Linked DNA regions of Arabidopsis thaliana. The protein of the gene in region 1 purifies or fractionates together with the protein of each later gene. This does not show direct contact. Each region holds a gene or a part of one and is shown on either strand. Other genes may lie near its edges. The genes, in order: AT1G43860 and AT1G09150.

What was found.
Region 2: the proteins of AT1G43860 (region 1) and AT1G09150 fractionate together in Arabidopsis thaliana (co-fractionation; one large-scale study listed by BioGRID). This does not show direct contact.

What each region holds. Positions count from the first base shown.
Region 1 is NC_003070.9:16,617,672-16,630,558, forward strand, and holds AT1G43860 (sequence-specific DNA binding transcription factor), read right to left. Parts: upstream 6,824-12,887; 5' UTR 6,715-6,823; coding exon 6,581-6,714; exon of another isoform or gene 5,856-6,580; coding exon of another isoform or gene 5,827-5,855; coding exon 5,697-5,826; intron 5,602-5,696; coding exon 5,401-5,601; intron 5,303-5,400; coding exon 5,135-5,302; intron 5,053-5,134; coding exon 4,573-5,052; 3' UTR 3,926-4,572; downstream 1-3,925. Other genes in the region: SEU (SEUSS transcriptional co-regulator), read left to right, coding at 201-1,166, 1,251-1,370, 1,523-1,571, 1,661-1,875, 1,963-2,031, 2,275-2,372, 2,468-2,561, 2,758-2,827 and 1 more.
Region 2 is NC_003070.9:2,943,367-2,956,055, reverse strand, and holds AT1G09150 (pseudouridine synthase and archaeosine transglycosylase (PUA) domain-containing protein), read right to left. Parts: upstream 10,027-12,689; 5' UTR 9,664-10,026; intron 9,511-9,663; 5' UTR 9,458-9,510; coding exon 9,447-9,457; intron 8,847-9,446; coding exon 8,765-8,846; intron 8,669-8,764; coding exon 8,601-8,668; intron 8,500-8,600; coding exon 8,402-8,499; intron 7,883-8,401; coding exon 7,746-7,882; intron 7,664-7,745; coding exon 7,596-7,663; intron 7,347-7,595; coding exon 7,283-7,346; intron 7,166-7,282; coding exon 7,148-7,165; 3' UTR 6,897-7,147; downstream 1-6,896. Other genes in the region: AT1G09160 (Protein phosphatase 2C family protein), read left to right, coding at 997-1,206, 1,285-1,456, 1,549-1,766, 1,894-2,001, 2,085-2,210, 2,294-2,526, 2,638-2,857; AT1G09157 (transmembrane protein, putative (DUF679)), read left to right, coding at 3,660-4,391; PP2-B15 (phloem protein 2-B15), read left to right, coding at 5,214-5,462, 5,531-5,649, 5,724-6,225; SR30 (SERINE-ARGININE PROTEIN 30), read left to right, coding at 10,238-10,324, 10,448-10,513, 10,600-10,674, 10,754-10,856, 10,942-10,988, 11,096-11,153, 11,277-11,326, 11,470-11,526 and 2 more.

The DNA.
Region 1 (12,887 bases):
CAGTGTTGTTTGGTTCTAGAATGTTCGATACGGAATCTCATCACTCAGATTCATCTCTTTCCGTGGTGTTTACGACTCTGAAGCTTATCATTGCTCAGAAAGAATACGTCTTTGCTCCTACACAGAGCTGAGTTTTATAAAGTCGTCAGTTTTGTTTCTTGCTTTCTTTGTTGATTGTGGAGTTGTGAATTAGTAAGAGTATGGTACCATCAGAGCCGCCTAATCCTGTTGGGGGTGGTGAAAATGTTCCGCCTTCGATATTAGGAGGACAAGGAGGAGCTCCTCTTCCTTCTCAACCAGCATTTCCTTCACTTGTCTCTCCGCGTACTCAGTTTGGTAACAATATGAGTATGAGTATGCTTGGGAATGCTCCAAATATATCTTCTCTTCTCAATAATCAGTCTTTTGTAAATGGTATCCCTGGTTCTATGATTTCTATGGATACAAGTGGTGCTGAGTCTGACCCGATGTCTAACGTCGGGTTTAGTGGTTTGTCGTCTTTTAATGCGTCGAGTATGGTGTCTCCGCGCTCATCAGGTCAAGTTCAGGGTCAGCAGTTTTCGAATGTTTCGGCTAACCAGTTGTTGGCTGAGCAACAACGGAATAAGAAAATGGAGACGCAGAGTTTTCAACATGGTCAGCAGCAGTCAATGCAGCAGCAGTTTTCGACAGTGCGTGGTGGTGGATTAGCAGGTGTGGGACCTGTTAAGATGGAGCCTGGTCAGGTTTCGAATGATCAGCAGCATGGTCAAGTACAACAGCAGCAACAGAAAATGTTGAGAAACCTAGGGTCAGTTAAGTTGGAACCGCAGCAAATTCAGGCCATGAGAAATTTGGCCCAAGTGAAAATGGAACCTCAACATTCTGAGCAGTCATTGTTTCTCCAACAACAGCAGAGGCAACAACAGCAACAACAACAACAACAATTTCTTCAAATGCCGGGGCAATCTCCGCAGGCTCAAATGAACATATTTCAGCAGCAGAGACTTATGCAACTTCAACAACAGCAACTCTTGAAATCTATGCCTCAACAGCGTCCTCAATTACCACAGCAGTTCCAACAGCAGAATTTACCTCTAAGGCCACCTCTGAAACCAGTGTATGAACCTGGCATGGGTGCTCAGCGTCTTACACAGTATATGTACAGACAACAACATAGGCCTGAAGTAAAGCTTCTTACCATAAATTTAACTTCTTTCAGCCTATGGCTTTTCTTCATAATTGACATTTGTGCTTGCTATTAAATGCAGGACAATAATATCGAGTTCTGGAGAAAATTTGTAGCTGAGTACTTTGCTCCTAATGCCAAAAAGAGATGGTGCGTCTCTATGTATGGCAGTGGCAGGCAAACAACAGGCGTTTTCCCTCAGGTTGGTTTACTGCTCAATGAACTTATCTTGTTTGTAATACAATTGTAAAGGAGCTTGTCTTTTGCACCTGAGCCAGTTATTCTGGATAAATTACGTACTTGTTTCATGTTATACCTCTTTACATGAGTATTTTTATTCCACAAACATTGCAGGATGTGTGGCACTGTGAGATATGTAACCGAAAGCCTGGACGTGGTTTTGGTATGTTATTTAGATGATCAGTGCAGACAATTTCCTGTACATCTTATCAAATATTCCTTCCTTACTGCTTTGTCTCTTTCATTGTTTAGAGGCAACCGCCGAAGTCCTTCCGCGGCTGTTTAAGATTAAGTATGAGAGTGGGACGTTAGAAGAACTGTTATATGTAGATATGCCAAGGGAGTCCCAGAATTCATCTGGCCAAATTGTCCTGGAGTATGCAAAAGCAACACAAGAGAGTGTCTTTGAGCATCTTCGGGTTGTTCGTGATGGCCAACTTCGAATAGTCTTCTCGCCAGATCTTAAGGTTCTTCAAGCTACTCTATCTTTCGCAGCAAATTATTATACTATTACTTTCTCTCCAAGCCCTTTATTCTTGTAAGTTCCTTCTCAGATATTCTCCTGGGAATTTTGTGCTCGGCGGCATGAAGAGCTTATTCCACGAAGACTTTTGATACCGCAGGTAACTTCCAGAAAGATTCACCATATTGCTCTGACATATAGTTATTTTGGAGATGCGGCCTTTCCTTTTGTCACAAAATTGGATATGCTGTCTTAATATTATTCTAGTCTGCTTTTCTTTGCGAAATCGTCACTTTACCTTTCATCTTTTGTGGTTTCCAAATTTCAATAGGAGTAGAATATTACACATCTAAATCAGTGAAAACAGCTTAGGTAAATTAGCTATTTTTGTATTCACATACAGGTTAGTCAGCTTGGATCGGCAGCTCAGAAATATCAACAAGCTGCTCAAAATGCAACAACAGATTCTGCTCTTCCGGAGCTACAAAATAATTGCAATATGTAAACTTCCTCTCTTTCGCTGTGAAATTGATGTAACAAATCCTGTTATTCGACTTTTGATTGGTGATCTCTGATGTGCTGCAACTGGTCTGCAGGTTTGTTGCATCTGCTAGACAATTGGCAAAGGCCCTGGAAGTACCACTTGTGAATGATTTGGGATACACAAAGAGATATGTTCGGTGTTTGCAGGTAAATAACTAATGTCTCAATATGGATCAAGTGAACTCTACAATCTTGCTTAAAACTTAAGATTCTTGCCATCAATGAAAATGCAGCTTTGAAAAGGATAATACATAAAAATGAAATAAACTTAATCAATCTTTGTATTTAGTCTGTCCCTGTGACCATGTTTGCCAATGCACATTGATATTTTGCAATATTGTAGATCTCAGAGGTGGTAAATAGTATGAAGGACCTGATAGATTATAGCAGAGAAACACGAACAGGACCAATCGGTAAGTTTATGTGACCACCTTTTAATGCATTTGGTATTTTTAATCTTGAAGCACCTACTCTTTTCGTTCATGTATTATATCAGAACTTCATTGTACATATTCTCCGGTGATTTGACTGATGTCATGTTTTCTTTCTTTGGTACAGAGAGTTTAGCCAAGTTTCCTCGGAGAACAGGCCCTTCATCTGCACTGCCTGGTCCTTCTCCTCAGCAAGCCAGCGACCAGCTTAGGCAGCAGCAGCAACAACAACAGCAGCAGCAGCAACAGCAACAACAACAACAACAACAACAGCAGCAGCAGCAAACAGTTTCCCAGAATACAAACAGTGATCAAAGTAGTAGGCAAGTTGCACTAATGCAGGGTAATCCAAGCAATGGTGTAAATTATGCCTTTAATGCAGCCTCTGCATCCACTTCCACCAGCAGCATCGCAGGGCTCATCCACCAGAATTCAATGAAGGGAAGACATCAGAATGCTGCTTACAATCCTCCAAACAGCCCCTATGGAGGAAACTCTGTTCAGATGCAATCACCTAGTTCCTCGGGTACCATGGTGCCATCATCATCGCAGCAACAACACAACCTGCCAACATTTCAGTCTCCAACATCCTCATCTAATAACAATAATCCCTCTCAAAACGGGATACCATCTGTTAATCACATGGGTTCCACAAACTCACCAGCAATGCAACAGGCAGGTGAGGTTGATGGAAACGAGTCTAGCTCGGTGCAGAAGATACTGAATGAAATCCTGATGAACAACCAAGCTCATAATAATAGCTCAGGAGGAAGCATGGTTGGGCATGGGTCTTTCGGGAATGATGGGAAGGGTCAAGCTAATGTAAATAGTTCTGGTGTTTTACTGATGAATGGCCAAGTGAACAACAACAACAACACAAATATTGGAGGTGCTGGTGGGTTTGGTGGTGGGATTGGTCAATCCATGGCAGCAAACGGAATCAATAATATAAACGGTAACAATAGTCTCATGAACGGAAGAGTTGGGATGATGGTGCGGGATCCAAACGGTCAACAGGATTTAGGAAACCAACTTTTAGGAGCAGTGAATGGTTTCAACAATTTTGATTGGAACGCGTGAAATGAAGAAGAGGAAGAAGAGACACTGAAAGGGTAATGTTCTGCTTGCGCAGCATCACACATCTTCAAACTCAGGATAAGGATAGGCCAATAAGCCGTGATATTGTGCTTAAGAAAGGAAGAGTCAAATCTTTGTATCAATAACTGGTTTCTAGGTCACCTCCACAATCACCAATACCATCTCTTGAGTTACTGTTTCTTTTTTTACTTTGGGGAGTTTTTCTTATGCTTTATAGTTTATAATGTACATCTTTCTATCGGTGTGTGTTCCTTAGGGCACATCATCAGGGAGGCAATGAATCAAGCTCTATCCTTCATTTATCTCTCTGGTCTCTTCCATGTGTTAACCAAACTTCCCTAAATTCTGACCACAACGTTAAATATGTGCAATGCTCTTGAACGATGCTGATCGGTCATGATTTTTTGTTGTTAGTGCAATGAAATACCACAAGCCGTACGATGTCTATTGTTTGGTCACAGTTATTAATCAAATACCAAATATCCAAGCTTGTCTCTTAAACACAAGTTTTTACTCTTAAAGTTTGCGCAAAATTTCATTCCACAAGTTTTGTGTATTCATACTCACATATGACTACGAGATTTAACACATTGACAAAATTAAAAGCACAAAAGGAGAAAATTGTAGTTTCAGAAAGAGTAGTCTTTCAAATCTGCTCTAGAGTCGTCCATGTCAATCTCAGACATGCATTCGTCAGCACTAATAGGAGGGAGTTTCCGAGTCTTACGCTTAAGGTTGTGTTTGTGCCAATCACTCTTACAGTGCTCTCTGTATTGCTTAGCCTCTCCAACGAACGTGTTGCAAGTGCTGCACTTGGTCCCCTTCTTTTCTTCTCCACCTTCTTGCTTTATGTTATCTGTAGTACTTATCTCTTGCTTCTGCAGTTTCTTGCTAAGTTCAACGACGGGATCGGTCAAATCCTTAGTCTCAGTCTCAGCAGGTAACAACGGCTTGTGGGTTTGCAATGCCATATCATCATGCTCATCGTAATGATCCATGCTTGTGTCACCTTCTGCATGAACTGATACAGCGAGTATTTCTAGTCTTCCCTGGATACTCCTCACATGGGAATCACACTCTCGGAATAGGCCCGGTTCCATCTCGCAGACCTACACAAGAAATGTATCACCATGATCAGAGAGGATTATAGAAAAGAAGAAGTTCAAAATGTTTGAAGATATAGATCATTACAGTGGACATCTGTGTTCCAGATTCGTCTTTGGAGACAACACTACCATCCCATTCTTTTAGCTTCTCCAGAAGCGAGGGGAAATTTTGAACAGGAACAGTAAGACGCAGTCTCATTGGAGAACGCTTTATAGGGAAGTGCTTTTGCAGCTCACGGATGACATCAAGTGCCTGCATAGTTTTGATAATCAAAATGAAGACTCACATAAGCTTTTGATAGAAAGCCCACAAGTCACTTTGCTTCTACATTATAACTTTAAACAACTCACCTGCTTCTTGGAATTACTATGAGGATCAACAGCAAAATGAATTTCATGCATTAGGCGCTCTACCATGCTGATGGTATAAGGTCGTTGTGTTTCAGGGTTGATAGTTTTCTGCATAACAATCGTTGCTATATCCCGAAACTGGCTTGAGAACTGTGATTCTCTTTCTTTTCCAGCAACTTGAAGCTCTCCTTTCTCCAAAATCTGAACATGAGAGTTGGAAATGCAACATATTAGATATATTATAAGGAGTCAGAACTTCAGAAATCTAAGAAAATCAAACAAGCGTTTTAACATACATCGATGCATATTTTCGTATGATCATCTGATCCAAACGACTTCATCAAGTCTTTCGATTTTGCAAGAACTCCTTTCGAAACATTTGAATAAACAGTATGCGACTGTAGCACTTCATCTATATCCTTCTCCCTGCATAAACATTTTGACTCAAATCTCATTACTTTTCTAAGAGGTCAAACACATTGTCCATCTTTCACACCAAATTCAGCATGCTCTACCATTTGCGTACATTATTTACAGAGATAAACGACTAAATTAGACTTACCACCTCCACATTAGAATCGACTCGCCAAATTCAAAAACATCAACTCAAGACAAGTAGTCAAGAACAACGCAAACAAAAATTGATGATGCCATTAACTCATATCCCTCATCACACCAAACTTATCATACCATACATTATTTTAAGAAATAAACAACTAATTAAGTATAAGACCTCCACATCATAACCGAATTCGTCAAATTCGGAAAACAAAATCAACACAGGGTCAGTCAAAGAACAACACAAACAAAGATTGATAATGCGATGATACTCGTTTCTCTTCAGATTAGGTCATTTTAACACCAAATTCATCACACTATACCAATTCCTTACATTATTTACAGAGATAAACAGCTAAAATTAGGCTTAAGACCTCAATATCAAAATCAAATTCGCCAAAATCAACACAAGACAAGTCAAGAACAACGCAAACAAAGATTGATGATGCGATTTATCAAATTAGGTCAAACACATGATCCATTTAAACACAATATTCATCTAACTACACTTTTAACAGTGATAAACAACCAAAAACCCGTAACCAAATTCGACAAAATCAAGCAGCGACGAAGATCGATTGAAGCGATTATAGTGGAGATAAGCAAAGATTTCGAAGCTTACACGCCAGACCGCCATGAAAGGACCTTATTCTTGTAACAAGCGATCTCGAAGCGATTGCCTTGCTTTTTGAGACGAACCACTGCAACATTAGTCAACCTCTTTTGCCCTACCGGTTGCACCAGCGTCTTCGACATACTTCTCTCTCGCGAATTTTGGTTTCCCTCTCGCCGCCACTAAATTTTGGGATATTTATTTGTTGAAACTGCAAAATGTGATAGGTCTTCACTTGTTTATTAAGTTCGTGGCTAAATGTGAAGAAAATAAAAAGTTATTGGCTAAAACTTAAAGGGTTGCCTGAATTTTCAGCCCTATACTAGTTAAAATTTCAACATTCCATCCTAAACTTTTAGTCACTTGAAAAATCACCATAAACAATTTTAATCTCGATAAAACTACATGTACTTTCGGATTTGTTCTTAAAACTACGCCTCCAATTGAACCGACCAGTTAACCGATAATTATACATCCGGTTTGACTTACCCATAATTTAACCAAAACTAATCCGATTTTGACTTTATTTTAACCCAATTTATATCCAAAAAATATATTCTTTAGAAGAAAAATACATTTTATTTATTTTCATTTATTTTTATAAAAAATTAAAAATAAATTAATTAATTTTACCAAAATAATAAAATAACAAAATATACCACACAAAATTATATAATAAAATTTTAGTATATATTTTGGTAATAAACAAAATATACCGCAAAATAATATAACAAAATAGACAACAAATTCTTTTTATAAATACAATGGTGTTATATATAAATGTATTTGGTATATACTCTAAATTTAATAATTCAAAGGTCATTTTCTTTTTAAAAACACCATAATCATATATAAATATATATATATATATATATACATATATAACTCATCTTGAATATATAAAAAGAAAACTGAATCTATAAAGAAAAATAAATTTATAAATACCATAATATATACTTTGATTGTGGTGTTTACGGATATCTATAAAAATAAATTTGGCATATATTTTGAATTTCATTACATATATAGAGTTCAAAGGTCATATATTATAATTTCAAGAAAAATGAATATTTTTGTTTAAAAAAAGACATAGCTTTAAATTTATAAAAAAATATAAATGATTGCCAAAAGGAAAATGTATATGTTTGTATATTATCAAAATTTTATAACAAAATGTAGCTAAAAATATAATTTGGGGTATATTTTGTCATATTAAGTTTTGCTAAAATTAAGTAATAATTTAATATTTTTAATTGTTTATCACAAATACAAATTAATAAAAATACTTTTACTTCTTAATAAGACAATTTATTTACATTTTGTGTGGGTCAAAATTAGGCTAATATAGAGTCAAAATCGGATTAGTTTCGGTTAAATTATGGGTAAGTCAAACCGGATGTATAATTATCGGTTAACTGGTCGGTTCAATTGGAGGCGTAGTTTTAAGAACAAATCCGAAAGTACATGTAGTTTTATCGAGATTAAAATTATTTCTGAAGGTTTTTCAAGTGGCTAAAAGTTTAGGGTGAATGTTGAGATTTCAACTAGTATAGGGCTGAAAATTCAGGCAACCCAAACTTAAAATATTGAAAGGTTTTTAGCGGTTAGGAGAACCGGCCTAGACATCGAAACTCGGTGACTCTGATTCGACTTGTCTAACCGGTCAGACCGGGTTTTCTAATTTTAATAGCTTCTGATAAACAACCCATTGGCTTAAGGATTTTTAATTTAGGGGCATCTTTGAGCAGACGCATTAGTAGATTCTCCCATTCTGGTTGATATGTACTTAGATGATGTGGGTTCTAAAATCCACACTAGAGATTTGTATTTAAGATTATGAGAAAGGAGGGCTAGATCTTAACTGAAACCTTGAGAGTTATATTGCTAAGAACGAATGGACTTTTGTATTAATTATGACAAAGCTTTTACAATGTGAAAAGAGATTACAAGTGTAAAAGTGTGTGTGTGCGAATGTGAACTGGATTGAATGTCTCTTCCAAGTCGTCCTTGCTCCCTTATATAGATCTACGCACGTGGTAGCTTCGTCCGGGATCTGCGGAGATCCTCCTAGATATTCATCAGGTCAGTTCCAAAATATCAGGTCCGCTCCGCGAATATCTCCTCATCAGTTCCTAGGTCATTATTCGCTTATCTCCCTTCATCAGATGACTGGGCTTATCTGGCCCAAGTACCCATTCGCGTATGTGGGCTCGTCAGCTGCATAGGTCCTCTACTTGGTGGGCTTGGTGGGCTTTTGTGGGCTGGCTTGGTATTTTCGCAGGTGGATTCCTGGAGGGGAATCCAGCTCCAACATTTGCCCCCCAGCCCATTGAGTGAGTAAGCGAACTCGATGAGCGGACATATAGGTCAGGTAAGATTGCGAAAATATTCTTGATGAGAAGATAAATGTGATTAGATCACTCAGTTTTGAGGATAAACTCAACAATTTCGATTTAATTTCAGATTCCCTTAACCGAAAGATTTCGAGGAGGATACGCGAGATAAGTCGCTGCTGATGTGGACGGCTGAGATGGAGCGTCTCTTCAGCGCACCGCATCTGACGGTCCAGATCAGGCGCGGAGAAGAGATCTCTGCAATCTCGAAAATCGTGGTGATGATGGCTTTAAATAACTTCCCACCTATCCATTTGACGTCACGTCAACTCACACAACTCTCAAGGTAACTTCTCTCATTCTTTATTATTTATTGCTCTTTGTTTTGTAGAAGTAGAAAAATCTCGTCTTTATTTTTTTTGCTATCTCCTTCGTTTCTCTGCTATTCCCTCTTTCTCGATCTGCCTTCTTTGCTCTTTTCTTTCATCTCTCTCGTCCTTCTCTGTCGAAAACCAAAGATGAGCGACTTTGAAGATTCCCAGAATAAAAGCAACCATAGCTACGGCGACGATTTAAGTTCGTCCGAGACGAGGTCGGTGGCGTCACCGCCGCGAGTACAAAGACGCGTCATAACCCTGGGCGGAATGGATCCAATTCGTATGTCGTCAACCAGAGCCGACAAGCCGAAGAAGAAAAAGGCTGCCAAGCAAGGGGGAGGCACGCCGATGATAAACAGCGACCTGGTCGACCTCCGGAGGAGATGCCAGGTTCCGGTGGAGGTACATATGATACTCCTAAGGCCGCCGCTGCATCCTGAGAACGTGCCGGTCGGGTGGTGCTGCGCTTATGCCAATTTCTTCGAGAAATGTGGCCTATTTTTCCCGATTCCGGCGTGTATTCTCGAGATGCTCTACTGTCTCGGCCTCGCCTTTCCCCAGATGTGTCCGAACTTCGTCTGCAATGTGCTGGCGTTATTCACCCAGGCTAGGAAAGTAAACAGAGAATTCAGCTGCCATGACCTGCTTCAGCTCTACCAGGTCAAGACCAATGCTAGGAGCGACCAAGGGACGTACTACATTAGTGCTCGTCCCAGATCTCTGGTTCTCGGCGGTTTGAAGGCTTGTCGAGACACCAATTGGCGATCCAAGTACTTCTTTTTCAGAGTAGATCGTCATTCAATCGGCAATTTCGATCCTGCGAGGATAACAAGGACCTGGTCTACCAACCTGGGTCAGATGGAGACCTGAGCCTCTTGATTTTTCTTTGTTGTTTGTGTCGAATCCTTGACTGCTTTTTGCTGAACGTTAGTACTGAAACTAATTGTTTGTTTTTGATGGTTTGCAGCAAGGACCAAGAAAGTTACTCTCTCGGAGACGGAACTCGACCTGTTAACCCTTCTCCGACGTGGTCAGACTGACTGGTCCACTTTAAGAAGAGATCGCATCGTAGCTGCTCTTGCCATAGCTCCAGCAGTTCCCGTAGCTCCAGCAGTTCTTGCAATCGTCCCTCCAGCAGCATAGCTAGATCCGATCAAAGAGGTCCCGCGGATTGAACCGGTTCTCGAGGCTGATCTGCCTGTAGGTACGAGTTTCGTTATATTTTCTTTGGTTTAAAAAATGTACGAGTTATCGAGATAGCTGAGCAACTCGAATTGCTAACTAACAAATGTCGTGCTCTATTTGTTCAGTTCCTCCTGACTCCAGCTCTACTTCAGAACTCCCGCTCATTAGAAGAATGAGGCGTCCAAGTCTTCGTGTTCAACGAGCCAATGCCGGAGCTCTTGCTCGTGCTGGTGATCTGTCGGCCGCGGTGACCGCGGCTCAAAACATTCTAGCTGTTTCCAGCGCATCTGCCTCAACATCTCATCCCTCGCTTCCTGAGGTCAACACCGGGACCTCTGCTGCAGCAGGTCAGTCAGTTAACATTCTGGTTGCTCAAGTATTTGGGCCATCTGCAGTTGTTCGTTCTGATGGCGCACCGTCCTCTCCGAAGAGAGCTCGGACCCAGCCGGAGGTGAATCCGGCGGCTGAGTTGCTCGTGAGCGACCAGGGGGTCGCCTCTCCTAGAGAGGAGATAGTGGGGGCAGGTCTTCAAACCGGTCTCAGGAAGTGAGGCAGACGTCCAACTCCGGCTGAGGATCCACGGGAAGCGGACTTTCCACTAGTCCTACACTCACGACCGTGATCACCCGATCGTTGAGGACGAGGCTGGGTTGGCGAACCTGCTTCGCCACGTCAAAGGGAGGAATTGTCAGGTTCCTGGAGTGAACAACATGGCCGAGGCGGCGGCCTATGCTGACATGATGGCGAAGGAGGGCCATGTAATAATCGATAACTGTCTCCTTCTAATTCCATCTTTATGCTAGTTGTGATTTTCTGTTTTGCTTTCGGTAGGCGATAGCTGCCACAAACAAGCTGGTCGCTCTCTATGAGCAGCGTCTAAGCCAGGTCCCCTCAGCGAATGAGCTCGAAGAAGGAAAGACCCTCATCCGGGAGCTGACGTCGAGTGTGAAGGCTGGTCAGGATCGCGAAGTCTCGTTCCAGGTACACCTCGGTTTTGATTTGTTTGTATATAATTTGTCGATGATTCGATGATTCTGATCTGATTGTTATTTCAGGTGGAGATCGAAAGGCTGAAAATGGAGCTATCCACTTCAAAAGACCTCGAGAAAGGTTATGATGAGAAGATCGGGTTCATGGAGATGGAGATCGGGGGGTTGCAAGCCGACAAGCAGACGGCGAGGAACCAGATTCATCGCTTGGAGCAGAGGAGGGAAGAGCTCTCCAAAAAGGTGATGGACCTGACTTCGACTGCACAAGGGGCGAAGAAAGCGGTTCACGATGTTAAGGTTGAGCTGGCTGCTGCGTATTCGAAGCTGCTAGCTGGGGTCAAGGAGAAGTGGGTTGCCAAAAAGGAGTACACGGTACTGGAGGTGCAAGCGGCTGAGGTGGAGACGAACCTGGCTTTGATCGACCAGATCACCAAGGTTGCTATCGATCTGACCGTGGAGAAACCTCGGCTGCAAGCAGAGCTGGATGACCTAGAGGCGCGGTGCAAATCGAAGGAGGTATCAGACTTTACTCTAAGCAAGTTGGATCTCCCGCAGGTTTCAGACCAATAAAGACGCGTTTCCGGGAGGTCTTGCGGAGGGTTCTGGTACTGTCTTCGCTACGCCAGCCGGAGAATCGAGGGAGTGATCACTTTCGCTCCTTGTTTGTTTTAGGATTTTGTGTTTTGTTTCAGACTTAATGCCTGGGAAGGCTTTTATCCTTTCGTTTGCTGCTTTTTGAACTTGGTGCCTGGGAAGGCTTTTATCCTTTGTTCGTTTAAGTACTTGGATGCCTGGGAAGGTTTTTTTTATCTTTTTTAGCAAGTATGTTTTATCTTTCGTTCGAGTGTTGACACTTCGTTGATTTTGGTGTATGATCACCTCGCTTTGTCCACGTTCCGGATAATAATTGGACTTGTTTCGCGTCCAAGTTATTTCAGATGTGATATGGTATGTTCTTCGAAGGTTAAAACTTTGAGTGAGTTTGAGTTGTTTTGTCTTGGGAACCTGTTGAAGTGAGGTCACACAAAGGACCTTCCAGATTTTGGGAGCTGGGCTTGTGGTATCGCCAGGTCGCGAATAAAACCTTCGTTTCTTCCTTGTTTACTATGTTATGTGTTGATAGCGAAAGAGTTAGATTTGGTTGTAGTAGGTGAGCTCCGATGAAGCCGAAGTGATGTGTTCTTATAAGTTTAGTTCACTATCGACTTTTTGGAAGCGAGATCACAAAATGGATCCGCCAACGTTCGGGTGTTGGGCTTTGGGTATCGTAAGATTACGAATGAGTTTAAATCATAGTGTAAATGATTGTTTTTTGCGAAATATGATAATGAGTATCAAAATTGCGTTTGCGGAGGTGACTGCCTGCATACCTGGTTAGGGGATTAAGCCCTTTTGTGATTTGATTGAAGTGGTGGCTGCGCTCTTAGGAGCT
Region 2 (12,689 bases), about 14 Mb from region 1:
AAACAGAAATATTACTATACGGATTTTTTTCACAATCAGATTTAGTTAAATCAAAATTTGACCAAGAAAAAAGAAGTTAATAAAAAAAAATTCTCCTACCCTAAAAATGTGTCCGTTATGAAAGTATTTAAGAAAATTTGTTATTTTTATTACAAAAATGCTTTAAACAAATATTGCACGAATCATTTGCAGAAAATACTAATTCTATAATCAAACTTAAGAATATACGATTTCTATAATTAAACTTAAAACTATACTAATACAATTCCTTACCTAAAGCGGGACTTTTGAGGGGCAATTAAGTAATTTCGAGAAGTTCATCATATTTCTTAATAAAATTAGCTGTCTCTAACCCCCGCGTCGCTGTTTCTTCCCAATCTGAGAAAACTCTCACTCTGCAACTTCGTTTCTCTTCTCCTTTCTTAAACCTCTCACGCGGTTTCAGACTTCCGTTCGCTTACCGAAGACGGCTCGGAAATTCTTTCCTGAAGAATCAGCGACGACCTTAGCATTATCTACAAGTCATCTTTTCTGCTAGATCTGTTGTGTATACTACTCGCGATTTCATTTTGGTGAGTTTATTGACTGCGAAGAAGCCTCAATTAGTGTTCTTTTACTGATTTTGCTATTGCTCGATTCTACTTTCGATACATTTTCCTGCATCTCAAAAGATAGCCAATTGTTGGAGATTCTAGAATTCTCTAGATTAGGGTTTTCCTCTGCATTTTCTCTATATTTTTTTATTTGTTTGGTTCCATTAACCAAAAAGAGTTTATCTTTGAGTAATTCCGTAGAAACCTCAAATTTTTGGATGAGAATCGAAATTTAGTAAAGTTGGTTACCATTTTGTTCTCATTTTTAGGGAGATAGATTGTTATAGGGTTCCTTAGTATTATTTATTAGAATTGAACCCTAAATGTTTGCAGCAACTAAATAATTTTGTTTTCTGTGATGAACAAAGAATTTGTTCCAGCCAATGCTGAAGGCTAGACTAAAATGAGCGTGTCAAAAGCATCGAGGACGCAACATTCGCTCGTTCCTCTTGCGACCCTGATTGGTAGGGAGCTGAGGAGCGAGAAAGTAGAGAAGCCTTTTGTCAAGTATGGTCAAGCAGCTCTCGCTAAGAAAGGAGAGGACTACTTTTTGATCAAAACTGACTGTGAAAGGGTACCTGGTGATCCATCATCGGCTTTTTCAGTTTTCGGGGTAATTGAGGCATTCTTCCCTTTAAGGATTCTCTGTTTTAGTGACGAATAGCTTACCCTTTTTCTGTTTTGTCTTCAGATATTTGACGGACACAATGGTAATTCAGCTGCCATATATACTAAGGAACATCTTCTGGAAAACGTGGTGAGTGCAATTCCTCAAGGCGCAAGCAGGGATGAGTGGCTTCAAGCTCTTCCTAGGGCTTTAGTTGCTGGCTTTGTGAAAACTGACATTGAATTTCAGCAGAAAGGTCTTAGCTTATGCTTATTTTTTAAAGGCTTTTTGCTTTCTATTCTTGTTTTTCAAGCATGCTCTAACCGATAAGATCTGTTGTGCTTACAGGGGAAACTTCAGGAACAACCGTGACTTTTGTTATAATTGATGGTTGGACTATTACTGTTGCTTCTGTTGGTGACTCGCGCTGCATATTGGACACCCAAGGTGGTGTGGTTTCTCTACTGACTGTTGATCACAGGCTAGAAGAGAATGTTGAAGAAAGAGAACGCATAACTGCTAGTGGAGGTGAGGTCGGAAGACTCAATGTATTTGGTGGCAATGAGGTATGATCATTTCCAGTGAATTTAAGTTACTGTTTCATTGTGTTTTGGCTGTGGTGGGTTTGTAATGTGTAAGAAGTCCTTGGATTTTCAATGATATTAATGTGCTTTGATTATGCCAATGCAATAGGTCGGCCCACTACGATGCTGGCCTGGTGGTTTATGTCTTTCGAGGTCCATTGGTGATACGGATGTGGGAGAATTTATTGTCCCTATACCACACGTTAAGCAAGTGAAAGTAAGCTCCCTTTCCCTTGGTACATTTTTCATTAATTCTTATATTTGACATTGATCAAAAAGTATTTTTATCTGTACGTTCAGCTTCCTGATGCTGGAGGGAGACTCATCATAGCTTCAGATGGTATATGGGATATACTGTCTTCTGATGTGGCTGCCAAAGCTTGTCGTGGTTTATCTGCCGATCTTGCTGCTAAACTTGTTGTTAAGGTTGGTGATCAACCCCGTTGATTTCATTGTGTTCTTCCTCTGGTCTAGATTCCTCTTTTTTCTGAATCATATGTTTTTACCAGGAAGCATTGCGAACAAAAGGGTTGAAAGATGATACGACTTGTGTAGTCGTTGACATAGTTCCATCTGGTCATCTTTCCTTGGCTCCAGCACCCATGAAGAAACAGAACCCATTTACCTCATTTCTTTCAAGGAAAAACCATATGGATACCAACAACAAAAATGGCAACAAGCTTTCTGCTGTTGGAGTTGTAGAAGAATTGTTTGAAGAAGGTTCTGCTGTGCTTGCAGATAGGTAATCTTCTAGCCATGAGTTAATATTGTCAAACTCTTATCCAACCCGTTAAGTAACTGAAACTTCAGATCCTGACTATCAGTCTTTGTTTGCTCGTGTTTTGAAATGTAGATTGGGAAAGGATCTTCTCTCAAATACGGAAACTGGGCTCTTAAAATGTGCTGTATGCCAAATAGATGAATCTCCGAGTGAAGATTTATCAAGCAATGGGGGTTCCATCATTTCCTCAGCATCTAAACGATGGGAAGGTCCCTTCCTATGCACAATATGCAAGAAAAAGAAAGACGCCATGGAAGGAAAAAGACCAAGCAAAGGTTCAGTGACTACTTGAAGCCACTTGCGTGCGTGAAAAAAATCATAAAATCCGGTAAGAAATTTGTATGTTTCTCATTTTCTTATCTAACTTCTTCTCTTGTGCTCTGTAAGAGTAGCTTGGTTTTGTGTTCTTTTCCCAGGTATTGATTGGAAAGTAGTAGTAATAGTAGAAGTTTATGCAAATGTTTGTAGAGAGAGAGAGAGAGAGTGTGTGACAATAGATCCAATTCTTATCCATTGTTTAAGATTTCCCTGGATTGCGTTCTTGGCATTATGCTGACCATTTACCTTCGTAGATGTGTTTTTGTTTGGGAAATTGCTGATATACTAACAAGAGTTTCCAAGTTGTAAGTAGAATTCATATTTTGTTATTGTCACTCAATCCTATTGCACTCATTCATTGAAGTTTGTTTCGGTTTATATATATATGCCTTTGGTTATGCGAAATGAGATTGGTTTTGGGATTACTACTGTTCGGTTTGGTTTATGCTTTATGATGCGATCTTGAATCTAGAATCAATGTGTTTGTGATTGTATGGTTACGTGGTTCGATATGTCCGGTTTACTTTGGTTCTCACTTCACCGGTTACCCAAAAATAAAATAAAATTGTTGTATGGTTTCTATTTATTTCGTTTTACAGACTGAATAAGTGAATATTTGCATGGAAACCGAGATATGAGTCTGAAGCAGTAGCAGTTCTGGAAACAACAAAAATTTGATAAACCGTCGTACTAAAGATAGTTCGAACAAAAATCCAAAACACATTTCTCATTTCACAAAACAAACGAAAACTATTGAGTCACAAAACACAGAGAGAATGGAGAAAACAGAGGAAAGCGTCGGAATCAGAGTTTACACGACGACAACGACGCAAAATCCGTCACCAACATCGTCTCGGTCGCCCAAACCTGTCCCTCTCTCTTCACTGCCTATGCTTCCGGCAGGAGCCGCCGCGGGAGGAGGAAAAGGTAGAAAACGTCGCATGGTGGCGAAAGGAGTTCAAAAAACGGTTTCGAAGACATCAATGCTCGTCAATTTCCTTCCGACAGGAACTCTCTTGATGTTCGAAATGGTTCTTCCGACAATCTACCGTGACGGAGACTGTAACGGAATCAACACACTCATGATTCATCTTCTCTTGCTTCTTTGCGCAATGTCTTGTTTCTTCTTCCATTTCACCGACAGTTTCAAAGCCTCCGATGGGAAAATTTACTACGGTTTTGTGACTCCACGTGGACTCGCGGTGTTCATGAAACCACCCTCGCCGGGGTTTGGAGGCGGAGATGTGATTGCAGAGAAGGAGATTCCGGTGACGGATGAGAGGTATAAGTTGAGGGTTAATGACTTTGTGCATTCAGTGATGAGTGTTTTGGTTTTTATGGCGATCGCGTTTTCGGATCGGAGAGTCACAGGGTGTTTGTTTCCAGGAAAAGAGAAGGAGATGGATCAAGTTATGGAGAGTTTTCCGTTAATGGTCGGAATTGTTTGCAGTGCTTTGTTTCTTGTTTTTCCGACCAGTCGATACGGTGTCGGATGCATGTCTACATAATAACTAATTTCACTTTTCTGTTGTTTTGTGATTTTTTAAGTATCTTTTTTTTGTAGTATTTGCCTTGTAATTTAGAGTATATGAATTTAATCCACTGACTACTATCCATCGTTTTATTAGTGTTTTACAAAATAGTTTCGAGTAATACACATGTTTTCCTTGATTCCATTATATTATGTCCTACAATATAGTAGGTCGGTGAGCTTGGCTTGTTTGTCGAGATGAAGTCGAGTTTATGTCAGTGAAGTTATCATGATCTTATCTTCAAAGATGAAAGATGTTGATATCGCAAAGAATTCTCAAGAAATAACAAAACACATAAAAATCTAATCAGCCGAGTTACAATAAATCCCTAATAAGGGTTTGAGTCACTTCACTGGACAAAAACCTACTTTGGTACATGGCACGTGGAAACACACGTGCCTAAAATAAACTCTTGCCAAAGTTCGTAAAAAAGAAAGATATTTTCACTGGAAAAAATAAAGTTGAATATTTTCCATAATCATCTTAACCAAAAACCTCAAAAATATTCACAAACTATGTTTTCAGGGAACAAACTCTTGTGTCTTTATTTTGACACAAGAGAACAAACCTTTTTTCTTGACCAAAAACCATCGAACCTTTTGTCTTCCACTAAGGCAATGATATTAATTTCAGGATTGTGCACTTCGGTCCAAAATAGTAACTACTAGGACGCTTATATTTACGACTCATCATCGGTCATGTATTTCTTCTACAAAAAAAAACACTAAATAAAACAGAGCCATAGTTTCATTAATAATCTTCTCTCGCTTTCTCTCTTTACTTTAATTCTGAAGAAGGATGATGTTACCAGAAGCATGCGTGGCGACTATCCTCTCATTTACAACTCCGGCTGACACAATCTCGTCGGCGGCTGTCTCATCAGTTTTCCGAGTCGCCGGAGACTCTGACTTTGTGTGGGAGAAGTTTTTACCGACCGATTACTGCCACGTCATCTCTAGATCGACTGATCCTCACCGAATTTTCTCTTCTAAAAAGGAGCTTTATCGATGTCTCTGTGAATCAATTCTCATCGATAATGGCAGAAAGGTCTGTGATCTTTATCTCTGTCTCTGCATGTGAACCAATTCTTGGTTTAATGTTAAAATTCATTTCAGATTTTCAAGATCGAGAAGCTTTCAGGGAAAATATCGTATATTTTGTCGTCAAGAGATCTTTCCATAACTTGGAGCGATCAAAGACATTACTGGTCTTGGAGCCCACGATCAGATTCAAGGTCGTTATTAATTTAATCATATCATTGGTGTAACAGTGTAAGCAATAATTTTTGTTTCAATATTTTGATTATAGGTTTTCCGAAGGAGTCCAACTTATAATGACAGATTGGTTAGAAATCATCGGAAAAATCCAAACCGGAGCTTTATCGCCGAACACAAACTACGGAGCTTATCTGATTATGAAAGTAACGTCACGTGCCTATGGACTAGACCTAGTTCCGGCAGAGACATCGATAAAAGTGGGAAATGGTGAAAAGAAAATAAAGTCAACTTATCTAAGTTGCTTGGATAACAAGAAACAACAAATGGAACGTGTGTTTTACGGACAAAGAGAACAGAGGATGGCGACGCATGAGGTTGTCCGAAGTCATCGGAGGGAGCCAGAGGTGAGAGACGATGGGTGGATGGAGATAGAGCTGGGAGAGTTCGAGACAGGATCAGGAGAAGGTGATGACGACAAGGAGGTTGTTATGAGTCTGACTGAAGTTAAAGGTTATCAATTGAAGGGTGGAATTGCCATTGATGGGATTGAAGTAAGGCCTAAACCCCTAAAAGTGAGGGCCGGGACCAACTAAAAGATGAGTGCCAAATTTTGTGTTTACCGGATAATGTGTTTGGTTTGGGTAAAAAAATGTAAGATGAGAAAACTGTTTTGGTGGGTTGGTAATAACTCTAATCGAGTTATACATTATTAATTTATAATACATTAGAGTAGATAGTAGTTTCTTTTGTTTGACATTTATTTGATAACATTCTGAAAATTGATTAATATCCGTTAGGTATCATTTTGTTCAAACATCTCTGTCAATTCAATTGTATTAAAAATGAAAGCGTTTAAGTAATATTATCCATAATAGAAGTACCTAAAATCACCATAAGCTATACAAATACGAATAATTCTGTTTTAACGACATTTTGCAAAAATAGTATACAAAGGGAGATATCCACGCTTTACCAAAGTAAAAGTTAATATTGAATAGGACAACAGCGAAATAGACGTGTCTTAATGTCGTCATTTCATTTGGCACATGAGGACATTCTTAGCTCATATCGAATTTCTAGTGTTACCTAATCTCATGTTAGGTGGCTTATACAAATTTTTGGTTGATACAACGTCGTCATATCGTGCAAGCACGTGTATGTAGTACTATTATAGCTTTAATACCTAATTAGTAGATAAACAGTGGGCACATTCTGCCTAATCGTTTATACTTTATAGGCTTATAGCAATTTGTTAAGTTCAATTAGGATGACTTTAAATATATTCTGACCGAAATAAATTTGAACAGCTTTTTAATCTTACTTGTTTGATTATACGGAATTAGAAACTGTAACCTTAGCTAAGGTTGACGTTCCCTCATAAAATAAGTATCAAATGTTTGAAAACAAATCAAACCAAAGCTAAGGTTGATCCGGACAAAAGCTCCATAAGTTTAGAGAGAACATAAAAGGAGACCAATATATCTCTCCGACACTGATTCACATTTGACATTGTCCTCAGTCTAGTCGTTCCATCTGCAATACAAATTTCAGAAACTTTTGATTTGTGTTCTTCCAAAATCGATTTTTATATCAACAATGAGACTGCTTGGCAATACTACGAATAGAGAAACCAGAGACAAGTATTGGTACCTTCCAGAGACCGTCGTTGAGGTAATGCATGTTGTCAACTCCTATTCCTTTGTTAATGCTCTTTCTGTGAACATACACAAGAAAAGTTTAGCGATGCGAAAGAAATTTTATGAGCAAACAGGGGAAACACGGCCAAAATTGATCCTGGTGCAGGTATGTGTATCTAAGGGAAGAAGGAATATCAATAAAGTGACAAAGATAGGGTTACTTGGAGAGGCCTGGAGCCAAGAGACTGTATTTTGGCTAAGATACGAAAGTATATCAAAGCACATGTTTGTATTTTCAAATAAATTCCAGCGAAAAATTGACTTACATGTCCTTTGCTGACATTTTGGTGAAGCCTATTGCTAAGGCATGTTGCTTTCCTTCTGCATATATGGCCTAAACAAATACAGATTCATGGTTTAAGATCAGCATATACAAACAAAAATGCAACCCAGGGAAATACTGTTTTTATTCATACCACTGGCCTTTCAGCCTCGACTTCTTGATCCAGAACGCCTCCCGGGGATGTAAGACCAGGACACATTATGTTTGCACCAGACAGAACAAACTTTATGGCACCTCTATCAACTTGAAACCTCTTCATTATATTTGGGTCTGCAAAACTCCAAACATTCAGCTGCCAAATTTTTGACATTCGTGGCTAATTGAAAAAACTCCAAGTTTCTTTCTATGTATCATTCAAGTATGTAAAAGTTAGCTGAACGTGGTGTTTTCAAGAATATTTTATACTCTTCTGGTAACAGCCAATGCCAAAACCTTCTCACTATGATAAGGGTCAGCTAACCCGGAAAACATAAAACAAAATATACTAAACAAAAATCCTGGCTAACCAATCATACGTGGACCTTTTATATAGTTCACTCGCATGAAAAAAGCCAAAGGAACAACAACTTACAGGAACCAAACCCCAGGAAGTTCTAAATAACTCAGAGAAAAGTGTCGGACATACTATTCAGGTATATGCAGTATTTGAACCAGGTAAGTTCTACTGCAGACCACAGTAAGACTAACAGGTGTGAAGAAGAGTGATTGTATGAATAAAACACCCAGATATGTTATGTTTTGATAACAAGACCATATAGCATGGATGGTGTGAAGGAAAAGTGATATTACATTGATGAAGAAGCCGCAGTGTTGGCATGTATGGCCCGTCACGGATACAGAAGAAGAGGGGGACATTGTTGACAACAACTAGGGTCAGATGGTTTGGGCTGCACGAGAAATATAGTCAGGAATACTGTAAGACATAGATAGTGGGTAAAAGAAAATTCAGAAAACAAAACAATGAATATGAGTTTGTTAATTTACAGACCACTTCACTACGATAAGAGGAATCTTTTTGGGAAGTAGATCCTCCATCACTGATTCAAGTCCCGGGTACTGCAACATTAACATAAACATATTTATATCTGACAAACTTCACGAAATCATAAAAGTTTAAGAAGGGGAAAAAGACAAATGAAACAACAGACATACCTCATCTTGGATACTCTGGCGGATCCTACGTTGAACAGATGCCTTCACTTGGTTTTGTGATGAAATCTCCTCCAAACAAAACCTAAATAAAAAGTAGTGAACATAAATAACACCTTCATAGACATAATGGTATATCAAATAGATCTAAAGTTGATAGCAGTAGGGAAAAATAAACTTTATACAAGATTCACTATGAATGTATAAGCATGTTTCAGGAGATGGATAAACACAAACTCCATGATAGTAGAGAGTTTAGACTGGTCAAATCAAGACACAAACTTTCCTCTATGACCCACGACTCTTTGTACAGATTTGATAAATCAAATAGTGACACTATCAATATAGAAACCAAAACTTTACAATAGCAAGATGTTAGCTTTTGAGAACTCAAAACCTTCTACTTTGAAGAAAATATAACAACCAATATGCCCATACCAAGGCTACTCTAAGCAATCAAATTAACAATGTGGTCGACAACAAGTAGAAGGGAGTGAGTTCTCGATAGTTATTAGAGTAAGTGGATACTAAATAAAGAGACCATCACATTCTTTATCAACTAGTATAAACAATGCCGAGATGTTGAAACCACTAATTCTTAGATTCTACAATCCGGGTATGAAAAACAGTTTCTATCTAAATAAAAAAGTAGAGAAAGAATCTAGAAAGAGACAAAGATGCTTACTTCTTAAACATGTTCGAGGTTTATTGAAAATGATCACCAGCTTCTAACTATGGTATCTTCTTCCCTGCAAGCGAACAGTGGAAGATGATTGATAACGGAAATATCGGAACATCACTCAACAAACCAAAAATTTGGACATCATATCGCAACAAATTCAATAGGAAAAATACTGAAATTCCAAAACAGAAAAACCAAACGGAACAGAGCAGGAACTCACGGACTGAGAGAGACCGTGGACGGTGTCACGGCGGAAAATGGTCTTGGACGGAGTTACTAATCGGCGAATTGAGATTTGAGAGGTGGTAGTAGAGGAACCGAGAGAATGTTTCTCTCAAAAAAATCCCCAAGTGTTTCCGATCTAGTGTCTCTTTTGTCCAAAAACGACAGTGTTTAGGAAACCTAGGAGAATGAATGACCCGATGGTCCGAATCCGATTCGAAATTGGTTCGAATTGTAATAACTAACATACAATATTCCGGTTTGAATGATAAGAAAAAACACATTCGATCCGGTTAGAACAATATATTAACAGGCCCATTAAAACATATGGGCCGATCTTGATCAACTGGGCTATTCATCGTTGATACATGCGGCCGCACAGGATTAAAATCCAGTTCCGTTTTATAAAAGGATACTAGTTTCCAAACGAACGGTGGTTGTCTCCTTTCCAGAACAATCTAACGCTTTCTCGAACATCTTCTTCTTCTTCTTTCTCGAAATTATTTTTCCAGTAATCAATTTCTTCTCTTCTAGATTTTTACAGGAACTAATTTTCTGCTCTGAGGTATCAGATGAGTAGCCGATGGAATCGTACGATCTACGTTGGGAATTTGCCTGGAGATATTCGCAAGTGTGAGGTTGAAGATCTCTTCTACAAGGTTTGAAAATTCCTCTTTTCTCTCGATAAAAATTGAATTCATTATGACTTGTTTGGGTTCATAAATTTGCAATTCTGTCTTGCTGAGACAATTTAAATCGACTCTTATGTATATTTGTTTCAGTATGGACCAATTGTGGACATTGATTTGAAGATTCCACCGAGACCTCCTGGTTATGCCTTTGTCGAGGTATATTGATCAAGTACAAATTTGTTTTTTTCTTCTTCTTGTAATAGTATAGGCTAATGACTAAGATAGTTTGTTATTGGTGGCAGTTTGAAGATCCTCGTGATGCAGACGATGCAATTTATGGACGTGATGGTTATGATTTTGATGGGTGTCGACTTCGGGTTAGTAAACGCATGATGAAAGCTAGCTTAATTTTCTGTAATTTCTTGTAAAGGTGTTATCTTTGTGTGATGTTTTTAGGTTGAGATTGCACATGGTGGTCGTAGATTTTCACCATCAGTTGATAGGTACAGCAGCAGCTACAGTGCGAGCCGTGCACCTTCAAGACGCTCTGACTACCGCGGTTTGTAGAGTCTTCTCGATTGTGTTATTTGGTGTTGTGTAAAATTTTATATTTGAAAACTCATTTTTACTACCTAAACATGTAGTGCTTGTGACCGGATTACCGCCTTCTGCTTCGTGGCAGGACCTTAAGGTAAGGGACACTATATAGTCTTTTTCTCTGAATGTTGGTTCTCTATATCATGTTTTGGATTTATCTCTTTTCTGAAATGATGTTATTTGCTATTTACGGGTGATTAGGATCACATGCGCAAAGCTGGAGATGTCTGCTTCTCTGAAGTTTTCCCTGACCGTAAAGGTGAGTTGACATTCGATAGTTTGGATAAGCTTTTGATTGATGTGTTAGTAAATTAGTCTTTGTGAAGGAGAATAGGTGTTAAGCATCTGAACTGCTAAACTCACATTCAGTATTTCTTTGTAGGCATGTCTGGGGTTGTGGATTATAGCAACTATGATGATATGAAGTACGCAGTAAGTTTTATATCTTTGCAACGCAAATGTTCCTGGACTTATGCCTTAGACTGCTTTTGTTTCATAGTATACCGAGCTGAATTTATCTTCCTGGAGGCCAGTGTTGGATCTTTGATGTTCCCTTAAAATTTTTGATGTGACAGATAAGGAAACTTGATGCCACTGAATTTCGAAATGCTTTCTCTAGTGCTTATATACGGGTATGTTGTATTGCTTTCTTTGATTTTGTTAAGCATAAGTGGATATGGAGTCATCTCTGAATTTACTGTTCAGGTGAGGGAATATGAGTCGAGGAGTGTGAGTCGAAGCCCAGATGATTCTAAAAGCTATAGAAGCAGGAGTCGGAGCCGTGGTCCAAGCTGTAGCTATAGTAGCAAGAGCAGGAGGTCTTTTTTTTTTTTTTTTTTTCATAAACCTAAGACATATAAGGGATTTTTATTGTAACTTATTTATGAAATTAACTGACTTCTAAATGCAATGCAGTGTGTCACCTGCTAGATCCATTTCCCCGCGTTCACGGCCCCTTAGTCGTTCTCGCTCGCTATACAGCTCTGTCTCAAGGTATGAGTGTTAGATTTGTATCATTATTATATATGTAGTTACCCCTTCATGGATCACTTGTTCTTGCATAGTGAACTCCTTACTAGCTTTATTACTTACAACTAAGCACCTTTTGTTGCTTCCGTACACAGTTGAATTTGTTTGAGTCTTTTTTCCCTCATAGTGGACTAGTCTATTGTCACTTGATTTTCTTCCTTTGTTGATGTTTTCTATGTCATGCAAACTCCAATATGGGTAAAGGTTACCTCCTTGTTTGGGATTACCAGAGTTCCTTTTCATTTCTTACACGTGAATGTGTTTGTTTTTTATGTTTTGAGTTCTTGACAGAGATGCTCCCATCATATTTAGTCCTTTTCCTTTCTCTTTGTGTCGTTCTCTTCTGGATGTTTCCTTCTGATAAAGCTTTACTTCTTAACTTTTTTCCAGCGACGGTGAATTTATTACGTATCAATCTTCATTATCCGACTTATAATTTAAAGAACACTTAGCTAGATGTTTCACTTTTTGAAAATTTATTTCTATCGGAAGGGGGAAGATGGATTTCTGAGGCATGTCCTCGATCATTTACCGTGATTACAATTGTATTGCGTTGTTTGTTTTCTAGATCTGGCTCACTGCTACGAGCTGGGGATTGGATCTAGATGGGTCATCTAGATGGATTCTTGGACTGGATTTACAAAGCTGGATTAGCATGAACTTGAACTTCTGTTTTTACGGTCTGGTCTGGTCTGGTACTCCGCGCGTATCAGCTGTAGGATCTGATCGCAAAGTTTTGGACTATGATTACTCTGATTCCTCAATA